Callithrix jacchus: one gene and its partners. The protein of the gene in region 1 purifies or fractionates together with the protein of each later gene. This does not show direct contact. Links are inferred from orthologs where the notes say so. Each region holds a gene or a part of one and is shown in the gene's direction. Other genes may lie near its edges. The genes, in order: MAP3K5, STUB1, ARRB1 and MAP2K3.

Evidence for each region.
Region 2: the proteins of MAP3K5 (region 1) and STUB1 purify together in Homo sapiens (affinity purification with western blotting; 3 studies listed by BioGRID). This does not show direct contact. The link is inferred for Callithrix jacchus from reciprocal best matches to the Homo sapiens genes MAP3K5 and STUB1.
Region 3: the proteins of MAP3K5 (region 1) and ARRB1 purify together in Homo sapiens (affinity purification with western blotting; 3 studies listed by BioGRID and IntAct, with this or other methods). This does not show direct contact. The link is inferred for Callithrix jacchus from reciprocal best matches to the Homo sapiens genes MAP3K5 and ARRB1.
Region 4: the proteins of MAP3K5 (region 1) and MAP2K3 purify together in Homo sapiens (co-immunoprecipitation; 4 studies listed by BioGRID and IntAct, with this or other methods). This does not show direct contact. The link is inferred for Callithrix jacchus from reciprocal best matches to the Homo sapiens genes MAP3K5 and MAP2K3.

Annotation. Positions count from the first base shown.
Region 1 is NC_133505.1:143,588,176-143,592,399, reverse strand, and holds the start of MAP3K5 (mitogen-activated protein kinase kinase kinase 5), read left to right. Parts: upstream 1-1,388; 5' UTR 1,389-1,507; coding exon 1,508-1,600; intron 1,601-1,846; coding exon 1,847-2,522; intron 2,523-4,224. UniProt on the Homo sapiens protein: Serine/threonine kinase which acts as an essential component of the MAP kinase signal transduction pathway. Plays an important role in the cascades of cellular responses evoked by changes in the environment.
Region 2 is NC_133513.1:2,940,140-2,944,403, forward strand, and holds STUB1 (E3 ubiquitin-protein ligase CHIP), read left to right. Parts: upstream 1-1,447; 5' UTR 1,448-1,569; coding exon 1,570-1,728; exon of another isoform or gene 1,729-1,873; intron 1,874-2,167; coding exon 2,168-2,366; intron 2,367-2,451; coding exon 2,452-2,617; intron 2,618-2,684; exon of another isoform or gene 2,685-2,812; coding exon 2,813-2,900; exon of another isoform or gene 2,901-3,064; coding exon 3,065-3,121; exon of another isoform or gene 3,122-3,195; coding exon 3,196-3,312; exon of another isoform or gene 3,313-3,372; coding exon of another isoform or gene 3,373-3,394; coding exon 3,395-3,520; 3' UTR 3,521-3,771; downstream 3,772-4,264. Other genes in the region: JMJD8 (jmjC domain-containing protein 8), read right to left, coding at 3,822-3,902, 3,980-4,114, 4,192-4,259. UniProt on the Homo sapiens protein: E3 ubiquitin-protein ligase which targets misfolded chaperone substrates towards proteasomal degradation.
Region 3 is NC_133511.1:65,678,877-65,682,433, forward strand, and holds part of ARRB1 (beta-arrestin-1), read left to right. Parts: intron 1-371; coding exon 372-444; intron 445-3,035; coding exon 3,036-3,173; intron 3,174-3,557. UniProt on the Homo sapiens protein: Functions in regulating agonist-mediated G-protein coupled receptor (GPCR) signaling by mediating both receptor desensitization and resensitization processes.
Region 4 is NC_133506.1:64,703,707-64,707,989, reverse strand, and holds the start of MAP2K3 (dual specificity mitogen-activated protein kinase kinase 3), read left to right. Parts: upstream 1-1,471; 5' UTR 1,472-1,645; coding exon 1,646-1,694; exon of another isoform or gene 1,695-3,318; intron 3,319-4,000; exon of another isoform or gene 4,001-4,201; intron 4,202-4,283. UniProt on the Homo sapiens protein: Dual specificity kinase. Is activated by cytokines and environmental stress in vivo. Catalyzes the concomitant phosphorylation of a threonine and a tyrosine residue in the MAP kinase p38.

The DNA of each region.
Region 1 (4,224 bases):
CATTGTATTGGGGTTTGGGTTCCTAACATCAGAAACATATCTAAAGTTAATACATTAAAAAAAAAAAAAAAAAAAAAGCCAGCAAAGTCAGTGGCTCATGCCTGTAATCCCAGCACTTTGGGAGGTCAAGGTGGGTGGATCATGAGGTTAGGAGTTTGAGATCAGCCTGGCCAACATGATGAAACCCCATTTCTGCTAAAGATACAAAAAATTAACTAGGCATGGTGGTGGACGCCTGAAATCCCAGCTACTCAGGAGGCTGAGGCAGGAGAATCGCTTGAACCCAGGAGGCGGGGGTTGTAGTGAGCCGAGATTGCGCCATTGCACTCCAGCCTGGGTAACAAGAGTGAAACTCTGTCTCAAAAAAAAAAAAAAAAAAAGCAAAACTCCGACTTAAAAAAACAAAAAACAAGTACAAAACCAAAACCAAAACAAAATCCACAAAAAACTGTCATTCACACTTTCTTCTCCCTTTTTCACAGGACTCATTAGTCTCAGTTCCTGGAGACTGGAAGTACAAAACCTGTTTCTCAATTGTAACTTGCGCTGGCTTTCTTAACAATTATAGCATTCTGGGGTTCTCTGAGAACTTACAAATCTATTCTTTCCTCCCCAGATAAGTAGGTACTTTTTGATCGCTCTTAAACAATCTGGGTACTCCCCTCCCTGCCCAGCTTGGTGCAGTTTAAAAATAGAATAAGTCACGTAATTCCCCTGTTTCATCTTGCTGATAATCTGTGGAGTTGGGTATAGACTCCGTCTTCTATCTATCTTAAGTATCTGGCACTTGAAGGGGAATTAAGATCCTACATGAGAATGCTAAACCCTTCAGCAGTTGGCACTAATCAATTACCTACCCATTACTGATAACGGCAGGAGCCACTGGAAATTTTAAAAAAGGAAAAGTACATGGGACGACCTGATCAACTTAGCCTGCCACTTCTGGAGTGCCACAGCCACTAATGAACAACCCTCCAGTGTAGGCCCTGGCTCTAGGGCGCTATTTGCCACCTCCTGCCTCGCGCAACGTGGGCCTCCCCGAGCCTGTCCTGCCAGCGCCGCGCACGGTCCCAGTCCACGACGCCGCCAAGGGCCGGAGGGGGGCGCCCTCGCCGCGGGGAACACTGGAAATGCCTCGGGGGCGGACTCCGAGGACCGAGTATTGGCTGGAGAGACTTTTGCGCCACCCAGTAATCGCTTGCGCTCCAAGTCTTCTTAGGTGGGGGCCGGGTGGGTGAGGACGGGGACGCTACGCCACGCGGGGCACTCAGAGAAGGGCTGGGGTCCGGGGGCCGCGGCGCGGTCGGTTCCGTCCGGGCTCGAGCTTCCTAGCAACTCGCTCACCGGGGGCGGGCCCTGACTCTCGGGGCCGCGTCGAGTGGGTGGCCAGAAGCTGGTGGAGGAGAGGGCGAGCGGCTGCGAGAAGCCACAAGACTGGCGCGGGGACGACGCGGCGGAGGCGATCCGAAGAGAAGCAAGGCAGGGCGAGGAGGAGGAAATCCAGCCGATGAAGGGGAGCTGCCGCCGAGGAGGGAGGCGGGTCCCTTCGGCTGCTGCTGCTGTTCCGGGACGCCGCCGTGGGAGCCCGCCCGCCCGTAAGGTGCGCACCAGGTAGCTCCGCACCCAGGGGGCGCCCTTCCTGGCCCCTCCCAGAGCGGCCGGGACGGAAGGAGCTGCGCGGCGCTGCGCGGCGGGTGGCGAGGGCGGGCTGCACCCCGAGCGCGGCGCCCTTGAGCTGCACCGCGGCGCAGGTTTGCGAGCCGACTTGTCAGCCGGCCAAGAAAAGGAAGCTCCGTCCCTTCCCGCTCACCCGGCTTCCCCACCCCTTGTACTCTAAACCCTGCAGCCGGCGAGCGGCGCGGCCACGGAGGCGCCGAGGAGGAGCGAGCCGCCGCCGGGCAGCGGCGTGCCCTCGGGGGAGAGGGCGCCGGAGAGGAGGCGGCGGCGCGGCGGCGAGGGCGCGGCGCGCGATGGCAGCTGCTTAGCCCGGCGGGCGCGGAGCAGCCCAGAGCTGTGGCTGGCCAGGCGGTGCGGCTGGGCAGGGGACGCCGCCGCCGCTGCATCCCGGTCAGGAGAGATGAGCACGGAGGCGGGCGAGGGCATCACTTTCTCCGTGCCACCCTTCGCCCCCTCGGGGTTCTGCACCATCCCCGAGGGCGGCATCTGCAGGAGGGGAGGAGCGGCGGCGGTAGGCGAGAGCGAGGAGCACCAGCTGCCACCGCCGCCGGGCAGCTTCTGGAACGTGGAGAGCGCCGCTGCCCCTGGCATAGGGTGTCCCGCGGCCTCCTCCGCGAGCAGTGCCACCCGGTGCCGGGGCAGCTCTGGTGGTGGAGGCAGCCGACGGACCACGGTGGCATATGTGATCAACGAAGCGAGCCAGGGGCAACTGGTGGTGGCCGAGAGCGAGGCCCTGCAGAGCCTGCGGGAGGCGTGCGAGGCAGTTGGCGCCACCTTGGAGACCCTGCATTTTGGGAAACTCGACTTTGGAGAAACCACGGTTCTGGACCGCTTTTACAATGCAGGTGCGTGTGTGACCCCTTTTCCATCCCGCGCGGTCGGGACCCATGTTTAACCTGTCGGTCTTTGGGGCATTTTATTTTTCTGGCCGGGAAGCATTTATTTCTTGCCCCACTTTGGGGACAGCGACCGCCACTGCGTGACTGCTCCTGTCACTCGCCCCTCCGGGGAGAGCGTGTGTGCTTGTGTAAGAGTCTGTGTGTATTTGTGCGACAGACCCATGGATCCACCCACCGCCCAGAGCCGGAGCCCTGGGTCCTTGAGATAAACCTGAAGAACTGTCTTCCAGCAGTGGGAGATGTTTGCCCCAGTCATTCCTTCTCCATTCAGGATCTCGGTTTCACTTCTGTTAGGTTGGATCGCTGTTTTCCTTCTGCAGATACCTGTGACGGCTTTACATGAGGTTCTCTTTTTCTCTGTGTAATTTTGAGAGTACAGGAACGATGACATGCCACACAGCCAGCTGCACGCAGAGTGTAACTATATTAATTTACATGCCATGTTGCGATCTTCCCAACTCATCTTACCTTCAATAAGTTTTAGTCGCTTGAATTTCTCATATCTCACTAACCCGGACTTCCAAGTAATTACAGTGCTTCCAAAGGTAATAACATCACAACTTACACTGAACTTGTGTGGTATCTTTGTAAGGATTTTGGTAAGAGAACCAGGGTCTTTTTTTTTTTTTTTATTGCCCCATACATGGTGGGCTAGAAAGTTTATTATTTAACATTGTCTAAAACAACCATATGCTATCCTAATAACAACATTAGTTTGGCCATTAAAGTGATTACTAGCATAATCCATGAAAGAAATGTATCTTTTCAACCTATCTCAGATTTCAGAAAATGTTAAGGCAGTTCTAGTAACTGAAGCAATTAGCTGCCTGTTAACAAATGTTAGGACTAATACCATGTTATGGAAATTAACCTTTAGCCCCCTGTATATCCTGTGTTGAGAATATATACATGTTTATGTTTAATTTGTGGGTAAAAACCTGGTTCATTGGTTTCAAAACAATACACTTCTTGCATTTGTGATCACATAAAAAGCTTTATTTTCCATTTTTGTTTTCAGTTCTGATTCTCTTCAGCCCCTTCCAAGCACCTGAAGTAGGCTTATGTCAGTCTTGGAATTCAGCCAAAGCTGAATATTTTAAGAACAACAAGAACTTCATGTTAAAGAAGCCAGACTAAATAAACTAGGACTTTCTGGTTCTGGTATTTTAAAAATAGTTTTGGTCTTCGTAACTAAGCATGGATATAATATATTATAGCTTGATTCTTTGGGTAGCTTGCTATAAAAGTTACATCAACATAACTTTTCTAAAAATTATGGCACTCTTATTTTTGGATTATAATTTGGAAGAAGCTTCAAAGAACTAAGATATGAGAGGAAAATACCCAACTGAACACTTGAGCCTATTTTTATTGCACTGATTGGGTGTTTTTTTCTAGGACTCCAGAAAAAAAATCTTAAACTCTAAGTTAATTTGAAAGAAAGTTTCCTAACAATGCTTTCTTTCTGTTACTCTCCAAACACTGCCTCTGGGAAAGGGAGTGAGAATGATTACAAGGAAACTGACAGTTTGAGTGTATTTCATTGAATCCTCCAAACAAGCCTGTGAAGGAAGTACTTACCTTCTTAGGTGGGAAAACCCAGAGAGCCCTAACTGGCCCTGGGATTCATAGGGAGTAAGTGGCCAAT
Region 2 (4,264 bases), on another chromosome or scaffold:
CATCAGGACAAGCTCTGGGAGACCCTGCTCCTGCTCCCAGGAACATGCAAGGGCCCAGACTGCCGGCTTCACAGACAAGGATGCCTGTGCACCCAGGTCGTGCACACCCGACTCACCTGTGGTGGGCCCACACCGCGGAGGGCACACAACTTTATGACTGCGGCCCCCGACTCTGGCAGGAGTCAGAAGGCGGAGGTCAAGCGGTGCACAACCAGCTCAGGGGATTGGTGGCCACAGGCTGCTGAAGACATGGCCAAAAGCGGCCTCTCTGTGGGAGGCCAGGTCAGGATGCCTGGAGTGGTGGACCCTCCAGGAACCCCGCCCCACGACAAAGCCCCGCCCCCACGAAGACACGCCCCTAGGAGGCCCCGCCCACGAGGAAGCACCGCCCCACCGACGCCACTCCCTGAAGACCCGCCCTACGGAGGCCCCGCACACGAGGAGGCGGGGCCGCACCCCACCGGCAGCCTCTAGACTAACAGCCGTTCCAGCTCCCTTCGCGTCACGTGCTTCTCCGCTCGGCCCTTGATGGCCGCCAGCAACTCCTCCCGTTACCTGGAAAAGGGGGTGAGGGGAGGTCCGGCCACGGGGACACTCGCCCCACGGATCCCTTTATCTCTTACCAGTCTACCAACGGTCCACGGCTTCCAGCCGCTCTCGGGGGCCCGCGCGCGCTCGTAGCACCTTTCGGTGGCATTCCAGGATGGCAGCCCAGCAAGCCGCTGGGGTCCCCACAGCCCCAGAGCGCGTGGGAGGCCGCCATGTTACGTGGAGGGGAGGGGTCGGCTCTCAGGGGCGGAGCCTCTGCGGAAGGGGCCGGCTGCTGGGGGCGGGACCTCTGCAAACGGAGTCGACCCCCCCCCGAGGGCGGGGCCGGCTGCCAGGGGCGGAACCTCTGCAGACGGGGCTGACTGATGGGGGCGTGGCCGGGTGCTGGGGGCGGGGCCTCCGCCGATGGGGGTGGCTGCGGGGGCGGGGCCTCTGCCGATGGGCCAGGTGCTGGGAGTGGGGGCGGGTGCCGGGGGCGGGACCGCCGCAGATGCGGCCTGTTGTTGGGGGCGGGGCGGGCTGCTGGGGGCGGGACCTCTGCAGATGGGGTCTTTACGGGTTGGGGCAGGGGCGGAATCCCACGTGGGCGGGACAGGCTTTTAGGGAAGCACGCCCTCAGCGAACCAAGGCTGAGGCACCTCACGGAGAAAACCGGATATATGGGACGGCCGCCACCGAGGCCAGTTCTGGAGAGGCCTCGGCGGGGCGGGGCGGGGCTGGCCTCCGCGAATGCCGACCCTGAAAAACGCGGGGCCAGGGAACCGGAGCGTTCCTCGCAGCCAGCTACGTCGCGGGCCGACTGTCCCCGCCCAGGCTGGTTGGGCGCACGCGCGGCCCTACCCGCCCCCCGACGCCTGCGTCCCCGCCGATCCCGCCCCCGGCCGGAAGTTCCGGCGGCGGAGCTGGGCCGGGCCCGAGCTGATCGTGGGCTCGGGCTGCAGGGCTCGGGCTCGGGCTTCGGGTGCAGGGCCGTCAGGCGCGGAGCTTGGGAGCGCAGCCCAGGCCGTGCCGCTCGGCGCCATGAAGGGCAAGGAGGAGAAGGAGGGCGGCGCGCGGCTGGGCGCTGGCGGCGGAAGCCCGGAGAAGAGCCCGAGCGCGCAGGAGCTCAAGGAACAGGGCAACCGTCTGTTTGTGGGCCGAAAGTACCCGGAGGCGGCGGCCTGCTACGGCCGCGCGATCGTGAGTGCGCCCGCGTGGGGAAGGCGGCGACGGCGAGTCGGAGGGCCACGCCCGCGATCGGCCGGCCCCGCCGAGGGTCTGGCTCCTCCGCGGCGGGTATCCTGGGCTCCGAAAGCCCAGCATTGGTTCTCGATCCCAGCGCCAGGTGCCGGGGAACGAGGGTGGGATGCTAGATGGAGGCCGGCCGGGTGGGTGGGAGGCCAGGGTCCAAAGCTGGGACTCTCCAAAGATTTGGAAAACTCTACAGAACCAACCGGAGTGAGGTGTGTAGGCTCAGCCAGTAGTCCCGTGTCTGCAGATCCTTGGACCCAGAGGCTTTGGCTACTGAGAGGTCTAGGTTCTTGATCGTAGCCAGATCGCAGAAGCTGGGACGGGCCCTGGGACAGAGGGGGCGCGCTGAGCCTACGCCTGATGCGGCTGGCCCGGCCTTGGTCCCTAGACCCGGAACCCGCTGGTGGCCGTGTATTATACCAACCGGGCCCTGTGCTACCTGAAGATGCAGCAGCATGAGCAGGCCCTGGCCGACTGCCGGCGCGCCCTGGAGCTGGACGGGCAGTCTGTGAAGGCGCACTTCTTCTTGGGGCAGTGCCAGCTGGAGATGGAGAGCTATGATGAGGCCATCGCCAATTTGCAGCGAGGTTGGCCGACAAGCTGCCTGGGTGCGGGGCCCCTGGGACCAGGCGGTTGGACTGGCCAGCGTGACCGGAAGCCCTTGTTCCCCAGCCTACAGCCTGGCCAAGGAGCAGCGACTGAACTTTGGGGACGACATCCCCAGCGCTCTGCGAATCGCGAAGAAGAAGCGCTGGAACAGCATCGAGGAGCGGCGCATCCACCAGGAGAGTGAGCTGCACTCCTACCTTTCGAGGCTCATTGCGGCGGAGCGTGAGAGGTGGGACCCTTACCCCAGGCCGCGCTGTCTGGGGATAATTCTGAATAACCAACCGCCAACACGAATGTTTACTGAAAGTTTTACTGGCGAGCAGTGCATGTGGGGAAGAAGCCTGGATGTTAGCCCTGAGTCTGGGGTGTGGTCAGACATCTTCTGGCCAGGTCCGTCTCTGACGGGCTCCTGGTCATCCCCCAGGGAGCTGAAAGAGTGCCAGCAGAACCACGAGGGTGACGAGGACGACAGTCACGTCCGGGCCCAGCAGGCCTGCATTGAGGCCAAGCACGTGAGGGTGCCCCCATCCACATGTGGGTCTGTGTGTGTGCACACGTGGCACGGGAGCGTCCCCACCCTGCTGTGGGTCTGTGTGTCCCTGCCTCGTGTTGGGTCTGGGTACCACGGAGGAGGGAAGTGGGGTGTCCCTCCCAAGCACTGCTCAACTTTCCACAGGACAGATACATGGCGGACATGGATGAGCTCTTCTCTCAGGTGGATGAGAAGAGGAAGGTGAGTGCTGCTGTGGGTGGTAGGTCCTGGAGCAGCCCCTTCCCAGCCTCTGACCCTGTGCCCATGTGCCACAGAAGCGCGACATCCCTGACTACCTGTGTGGCAAGATCAGCTTTGAGCTGATGCGGGAGCCGTGCATCACACCCAGTGGCATCACTTACGACCGCAAGGACATCGAGGAGCACCTGCAGGTGAGGCTGGGGCCAGGGGGTGGGCAGGGCCAGCAGCAGGGTCCTAGGCTTGCTGAGCAGCCTCTGCCTCTTGTCACTGCAGCGTGTAGGCCATTTTGACCCTGTGACCCGGAGCCCCCTGACGCAGGAACAGCTCATTCCCAACCTGGCTATGAAGGAGGTCATTGATGCATTCATCTCTGAGAACGGCTGGGTGGAGGACTACTGAGCTCCTCGCCCTGCCCAGTGTCCTGGCCCCGGAGGGCCACGGGCAGAAGCCCCCAGCCCCTGTACATAGCTTGTGTCCCTGGCCACCCTTTCCCTTCCCCCCAGTTCTGCTGTTGGGCTCTGGACGGCTCCCCTCTCAGCATAGCTCTTGCTGGGCTGTGATCCTCCCCGTCCCCCATTCTGGGCTGGAAAAGCAGGTGAGGGTGGGCTGGGCTGCGGCCACCGTCTGTGTAATAAAATCCGTGAGCACAAGCTGGGGAAGAAGTGCTCTGTGTGACAGGAGTGCCTGCCGGCTGCCACGGCTAGCCAAGGAAGGTAGAGATGAAGACGCTGGTGTCAAGGTTGAGTGTGGCGTGCCACCAGCGGTCGGGGAAGTACAGCACCTGGTGAAGGAAGGGGGTGCAGCCGAGATCAGCTGCGGGCCTCTGACCTGGCCCGGTCCCTCCTGCCAGCCACTGACCTCACCAGCCTGGATGGTACACTCCAGGGGCCGTGCAGACGGCGGCAGGGCTGGGTATGTGTCCCGGAGCCAGGCCAGCGTGGTCTTGTTGGGGTGGAACTCTGGCGTCTTCTCAGGTGGGTAGAGGAACCAGCGCTGTGGGCAGGGGCAGCAGCGTCACCCTTGCCCACTTGGGTCATCCACCCAAGCCCCGACACCCACCCTGGGCTGACCTTACGGCCGTAGATCACCTCCGAGTACCCAGGCCCGTGCCAGTGGAAGGGCACCCCCGAGCCGGCTCCTGTG
Region 3 (3,557 bases), on another chromosome or scaffold:
CTGCCTTGTCAACAGCCTTGTATAATAAATACAAGGGCCTGCCCTGAGCCACAGGGCCCCACTTTTGAGGCGAGTCAGGGAGGCTGTTTATTGGCCAGGTAATGAGTTCATTCTTTAAGCCACCTCTTCTCTTCAGTTTCTTGGGTTCTGGGCAAAGCTGTACTTGAGGAGAAGGCTTTGGTTATGGAAGGAAATTTGTGTGTTTTGGGGCTACCCTTTGGATGGAAGACAGAGGTAGTCTCAGGCAGAAGTCCCTACTGGTGGCCTGTGGCCATTGCCTGGGGCTGAATATCCCCAACCCCAGGAAGCCTGAGAGACTCCATGGGAGCTGCATTCCAGACTCGCTCAACCTCATTCCTCTCCCTCCCCAGTGCGCCAGTATGCAGACATCTGCCTTTTCAACACAGCTCAGTACAAGTGCCCTGTTGCCATGGAAGAGGCTGAGTAAGTGAGCACACATCTGGCCTTGGGCATGTGGGATTGGGCGGGAAAAAGCTCTAGGTATCCTGTTACAGGTCCAGGTGTCTCTTCTTCACCTGGCAGAGGGCTGGGCCTCAGAATTCCTTGCCACTCAGAGTAGATGATCCCAAAGAGCCTTTTAGAAACCATCTACCTGATTTAGCTACAAGAAAATGCAAGGTACAATCAAGGAAGAGACCCACTAAAACTAGAATGACAAAACAAGAGCTAATGAATGTAAGGGGATTGGGATTGGGGAAAGAAAATAATTACATTGTACAAGAAACCTAGGTTGAAGGGAAATACTTTGTTCTGAGCTTCCTGGTAGCCAGGGCAAAGTAGGTAAGGCACTAGGTGCACAGTCTAATAAAGGGTAATCCAGCTCACTGGGTAAAGGGGTTGTGTGTGGGAGTGTAGAGACTAATTATACACAGACATTAAAAAAAAAAATCTAGGTTTGAGGAGAACTACTATGGTTGAGTGTGGACTGAATTTTGTCCCAAGCTTGTTGGCAGTTAAGGCAAGAGGAGAGATCTCAAGTGAAACATCTTTACTTACCTAAAGGAAATAAATGCTCCCATTTAAAGACACACACAGTCTTTTTCCTGGCCCTACAAGTAATTTCTTGGGGCAATTACACCTGATGTAATTTTACTGTGTATGTGTATTTGTTTATATATAATTCCAATCAGTATTTTTTGCAACTTCAAACATTTAAAAAATTACTAGATGGCCTTGGAGACAGTTTTTAATGTCCTGTAGGTGAACATGCTATGTTGAGATCAAGCATTCTCTGGTTACTGGATATTTTTGATATTCACTGTTGTTCTTTTTTATTTTTATTTATTTACTTATTTATATTTTGAGACAGAGTCTCACTCTGTCACCAGGTGCCAGGCTGGAGTGCAGTGGTGGGACCTTGGCTCACTGCAACCTCCGCCTCCTGGGTTCAAGCAATTCTCCTGCCTCAGCCTCCTGAGTAGCTGGGACTACTGGCGCACGCCACCATGCCCAGCTAATTTCTTTTGTATCTTTAGTAGAAACGGGGTTTCACCATGTTGACCAGGATGGTCTCAATCTCTTGACCTCGTGATCTGCCCACCTCGGCCTCCCGGAGTGCTGGGATTACAGGTGTGAGCTACCACGCCCAGCCTCTTGTTCTTTTTTTAAAAAAATCAGAGCCATGAAGCATAGATTCCAGATGGTAAAGTGAAGTGATCTAGAACAGAGTAACATATAATCCCTGAAGGGTAGAACATCCCACCCCCGCAGATGGTGCCAGGGTCTGCGTAACAGATCCCAGCAGGGGTGGCTGGGTAGGCCTTTGCACTCATAGGCTTGTTTACTTCTCAGGAAGCCCATGGGGCTGGGGTTGCTGCTGCCCCAGTGTGTTGAGGAGGAAGTGGCTAGAGAGATGTGACTTGTAAGCTAGCAAGCAGCGAAGCTGGGGCTGGTGCACAGGTTGTCTGACTCCACGGCTTGCTCGCTATCTGCTGCATGTCAGCTCTCTCTTTGGAAAGGATGGGGGATAGAGCAAAAGCAAGCAAAAACTGGACAATCAAAACACACTATACATGATGGATGCGATAAAGCAAGTGGAGTTTTAATTGTTGAGCCTAGATGGTGGGTATGTGGGTGCCCAAATAGTTTCATTTATGGTTTATGTGTCGCTATAATTTTTTTTTAAATTTGTTTACAGACAGGGCCAGGTGCAATGGCTCACACCTGTAATCCCAGCACTTTGGGAGGCTGAGGTGGGCAGATTACTTGAGGTCAAGAGTTTGAGACCATCCTGGTCAAGATGGTAAAACCCCATCTCTACTAAAAATAAAAAAAATAGCTGGGCGTTGTGGTGCGCGCCTGTAATCCCAGCTACTTGGGAGGCTGAGGTAGGAGAATCTCTTGAACCCAGGAAGTAGAGGTTGCAGTGAGCCAAGATCGCACCACTGTACTTCAGCCTGGATCACAGAGCAAGACTGCCTCAAAAAATAAAATAAAATTTGTTTAGAGATAGAGTTTTGCTCTGTTGCCCAGGCTGGAGTACAGTGGTGCGATCTTGGCTCACTACAGCCAGCCTCGAACTCTTGGGCTCAAGTGATCCTTCTGCCTCAGCCTCTCAAGTAGGTGTGCACCACCATACCAGGCTAATGTTTAACATGTTTTGTAGAGATGGAGACTTGCTCTGTTGCCCGGGCTGGTCTCAAACTTCTGGCCTCAAGTGATCCTCCTGTCAGCCTCTCAAATTGCTGGGATTATAGGTGTGAGCAACTGTGCCTGCTGTGGCTGTCATTTTTTAACTAAATGTGCTTTTTAGCACTGTGCTGCTTGACTATGATAATCTCTTAGAATATCCCAGATCCAGTCCTGTTTGTGCATAGAATGTGGATGTGCCTTTTTTGAGTCGCAGTGGTCTCCGGAGCTGGGCTGGCCCAAGTGGTCCCTGTATCTGTGGGGGATAGAAGTCAGGAGAGGGAGGCTTGGAGCAGGGCCAGACTAGACATTCTGCTGGGCTGGAGAGCAGGGCTGGGGTTGGCTCTGGGGAGGGCCAACTCCACAGCTGCTTCCTTTCTTCCCAGCGACACTGTGGCACCCAGCTCAACGTTCTGCAAGGTCTACACACTGACCCCCTTCCTGGCCAACAACCGTGAGAAGCGGGGCCTTGCCCTGGATGGGAAGCTCAAGCATGAAGACACGAACTTGGCCTCTAGCACCCTGTGAGGACCTGCCCGCCTAGCCCTGGGCTCCTGGTGCACGTTGCTTTTCACCCTCCTTGGTCCCTCCAGTTCAAAGACAAGGCTCAGGCTACCCTCTCCCCAGCCTTGTCCAGGGCCTGTCCTCAGGTGCTTGACTTATCAGGGAAGCTACCTCCTTACTCCCATCCCTATCCAGGGGTGACCGAGGGACTAAGATGGACCAGTAGGCCAGCTCACTCAGGCAGTACTGGGCTCTGTTACCAAGTCCGGGGAAGGGCAACCTGGGAAGGCTTCCTGCAAGAGGTGGCAGCTTCTGACCCAATGCCTTCAGTCAGATGGGGTATCCCTGAGGAAAGACCAGGGTGGTGAGCTGAGTTAGACCCAACATGGGGTGCCCCTCCAAGT
Region 4 (4,283 bases), on another chromosome or scaffold:
ATGCTTTCAGAGTCCTTACTGTCCCCATGGGATAGATAAACTGAGGGACAGAGCTTCTCAGTGACTTCTCCAAGGTCACCCAGCTAGTAAGTGGGGGAGCTGGTGTTGGAGTTTGTACGGGTCTGAGCCCCAGGCTCATGATTTCCACCCCATGACCTGGGAAGGGTAAACAGGAGATGCAGGAAGAGAAAGGTGATGACTCCAAGGCTTCCCTCTTATCTCACGTGGCCCTCCCCGCCGCTGTGTGCACGGGGCCTGCATCACCCCCACTTTACACCTGGGCAAGCAGAGGTCAGCCCTGGCCTCAAGCGTTCTGGCAGGTGGTGGAATCTGCTTCCCTCACGTGAGGTCCCTGACAGGGTACACACTCATGTCTGCCTGGAGGCCAGGGGCTGACCCATTGCCCTTTGCCTGGCACATTCTGCCCTCACTAGCCCTGGATTTACATCCAGAGTCACCTGATCCCAGCACCAGATTGGTCAGCGGTTCCTGAAATTCCCCCAGGTTCTGTGTGGGAGCAGAGGGAGGACTGGCCCATCCACCCATTATGCAGATGAGCAGACTGAGGTCTTAGCAGGAGTGGAGAGAACCAAGGCCCAGGAGAGAGCCGGGATGGGGCCTGGGGCTCGCGGGATAAAATGCACCGCATGCCACCTCACTCCTTCTGAGACACAGTTTCCCCCTGTGTAGAACAGGGGCAACAGTAACCAGCCACGAAAGCTCCTCGTGCTGCCTTGTCACCGGGCATCGCTGAGCTCACCACCGACTCCACGCCCTGGACTGGCGCCTGGTGCCCGGGCTCAAGTGAACGTTTGTTGGCGCGGGGCTCTCCGTGCGTGTTAGCGAGCAGCGCCGGGAGGTGGCTGTCACCGCCGCCCGCTCACAGAGGCTTAGACTGAGGCTCAGGTGTCACGACCTGCCCGAGGCCAGTCCCGCTGCAAAGTTGCCGACTCGTATCTGAAACCCGGTCTCAACCCAGCAGCTTGCTTTTAACCCCCGGCCTCCTCGCCAGGCCCAGCCGCACCACCTTTGGGGATCTCGGGGTTTTTCCAGACCAAGCACCCAGGAGAACGCGCCCTCGCAGCGCACCCGCCGGGGCTGCGGGTCTGGAGGTGCTGGGCGGGGTCTGGGGGTGCTGGGGGGGGTCTGGCGCCAGCAGGGAGTTGCGGGCTCAGTGGGTCCCGGGAGTGGGCGGGGCTTGCGTGTTGACGGGCAGCGCGAGGGGCGAGGCTTTAGATCAGGAGGGCGGAGTCTGGCCGGGCCTTGTTTTTTCGGGCGGCGGGCGGACTTGACAGAGAGCGAGAGGGACCAGGATCTTGGGCCCACGGGGTGGTTGGGCGTATGTTTGATAGGCAGGGACAGCCGGCGTCTGATAGGCGGGGTACAGGCCTTGGAAACGGGAGGGCCAATCGGCACGCAGGGGTGGGGCCTAAGTTAGCGCTGTTCGGCCGGGGTACACCGGGCGCTGCCCAGTCTGGCTCTGGCGCCGCCAGTTGCGGACGCGTCCCGCTGCAGTCGCTGCCGCGTGCCTCTGCTCCTCCGCCTGACCCGGGCTATCTGCCCGCAGCCATGAGCGTGCTCGGCCCCGGTGGAGCCCGCTGTCCTCTAGATTAGTCCCCGCCGCCGTCCCGGACCGGTCTGCAGCATGGAGTCGCCAGCCTCGAGCCAGCCCGCCAGCATGCCCCAGTCCAAAGGTAGGCGCTCCCCGCCGGAACCTTGTCCTGACCCCGGGCCCAGTCTGGGGTCGGGCTGCAAACTCTGACCGTTCTGTGGTCCCACCCTATCCTGTCCTTGACCTAGCAGCGGCGCCCTGTCCCGGAACCCCTTCCTGTTTGGGTTCCCAGGACCGGCCCCAGCCTGGGACCTCACCTGGATCCCCAGGTTAGGCCTTGGGACTGCACTCAGGCTCGAGATCACCCAGGCTGAACCCAGGCGAGGACTTTGTTCCCACCCATCCAAGTCAGGAGCCCCACTCTGACCTCATTTGGGCCTTATGGCTGCAGCCTAGACAGGAACTCTCCCAATCTTCTCCGTCAGCGGGACCCGGGTGAGATTCACACTGGCCCCCACCTGGATCCTTGGTCAGCACCCAGTCCCACGTCCAGTTTCGGGACCCAGGGCTGTATCTAGGCTGGGATATCGCTTGCGTCTCCATCTGGGCCCCAGAGTGCTCCTGTTGTTGCGGGCCTCACTGTAGCCCCTATGTGGGTGCTCTGGCTATACCCCAGCTCAGAACCGCCTGACCTCCTCTCCCCCAACTCTCCCTCTCCTTTAGGCCCTATGTTACCCCTTCCCTGGCTGACCTCCACCCCGTCCTGCAGTCCTGTGTCCCCAGGAACCTCCCTTGTCCTCTCACCCCTCCGTAAGGTGCAGCCCCCTCTGTACCGACTCCTCTCTGAGTTGCAAGCTTCTCCCTGCACTTGGGGCGCTCACCCCATCTGGTTCCCGTCCCAGCTGCCTGGGATCTGGGCCAGCCGCCAGGCCAGGGTGCTGGCTGTGCAAGGGATTTGCTCTTCTCCAAGTAGCTGGCTTTCCTGGAAATTTTTGTGAGGTGGCGGCAGCAGGATTTGTCATGCGGAGGGGGGAAGGACGAGACTTGGAGGGCAGAAGGGGAATTTTTTTTTTTCAGGAAGAGGAGAGGATGTTTTTGGTGCGTCGGAGTTTCAGCAGGCTGTGTTGTGAGAGATTTCCAAACCGGACATAGCTGTAATGAATGGGCTGCCTCACCCCAGCAAGCTCCCTGGTGTCTCTGGGTCTCAGTTTTCTTTTCTGTAAATTGGAAGTCATCACACCTGCTTCTGTGGACGCGGGAGTGGGGTGTGGGGTGGTGAATGCTAATGAGCTCTGAGGCGTTCTTTCACTCAAAGAGAGCCTGGCGAGGGCCAGTGCTCACCAGGGGACACCGGCTGCATGCATCCCGCTGTTGCTTTCATTCTTGCTGGAAAGGCCCCCGCTGCTGGGACTCCACTGCAGAGTGAGCAGGAGGCAGGTAGCAGCGGGCACCCCCTCATCAGGGGTCAACCACTCTCCTGCCCTGGAGGGTGCATGCCAGTGGAAGCCCTATGGGGGTCTGGGGAGGGCATGGGCTCTTCCTGGCCCCTGCTGCTGGCTGCTGTGGTGGCTGGAGCCGGGTGGGCAGAATAATTATGCCTTACATAAGTGGGAGGCTGGATCCCTGACAACTGCCCAACCACTGTGAGTAACTCAGGAGGCACTCGCCGGGGGAGGCATCTGAAGAGGGACTTCACTGCACAGACCTCGTGGAGCTTGGGAACCGGGAAATCAGACACTTCTCCACTCTGGAGAGCTCGGGGAGGGGTAAGAAGCACTGTTTGTTTTGGAGGCTTTTTTAGCTCTCCAGGCAGGGAATGCCTCAGCAAAATAAAAGCTCCAGTTGCAGAGTTGTGCAGGGAGAGGGGTCACAGAGGTGGTGGGAGCGCTGTGAGAAGGCCAGGATGAACTTCTAGATGTGAACCCAGGTCCCAGATGAGGTTGGGTGGGCTGAATGGAGGGTCAGGGACCTCCCTCAGGCCCAGGCACTCTATAGCCTCTTCGGGGTCTGGAGAAGTATGTGGTGGCAGAGCCACAGTGCCCCTCACCAAAATCCCTGTGAGCTCCTTCTTTTTTTCCATGTGCCATGCATTTCCTCATTCATTCCTCACAGCCCCATTTACAGATAAGGAAACTGAGGCCCAGAGGCATTAAGTGCCTTGCCTGAGGCCACACAGAGGTGACAGGTGTACTAGGGTTCCCCCAGGACTGTGTGTCTCCACAGAGGTCTTCCCAGTGACCCCCTGTGTGCCGCTCCCATGCTAGATGCCTGAGCTGAGTGGGTGGGACACCCTCACCCCTGGCCTTGCTCACAGCCTGTGCAGTGGGCCTATCCTCATGGCCATGTCAGACCTCCAGGACAGACTGAAGCAGAGGTGCTGCCTTTCCTGTGCACAGCGCTTCACGCTGGGCCTGAGGCATATTCACTGCAATCTGACCCATTTGACAGATGCAGAACTGAGCTTGGAGGGAGGATGGCCGGCCTGCCCCAATAGGTGGAGATCCTCGCCCCATGCCCGCCCCATCCTGGGCACTGGGCCTCCCAGCACAGAGCCTTCTCCACCTTCTCAAAGGAATTTGAACACGGCAGGGAGTGGCTGGCGCTTGACCTTACTGGAGCTTTACCTTTGAGCTTCCTGCCATGCAGCAGGTACCCGGCCCCGTCCTCCGTCCTCCGTGCCATCGGCCTGGGGAGTTTTCTGTGTGTGTGCAGCCCTCAGGCCCGGAGCTCT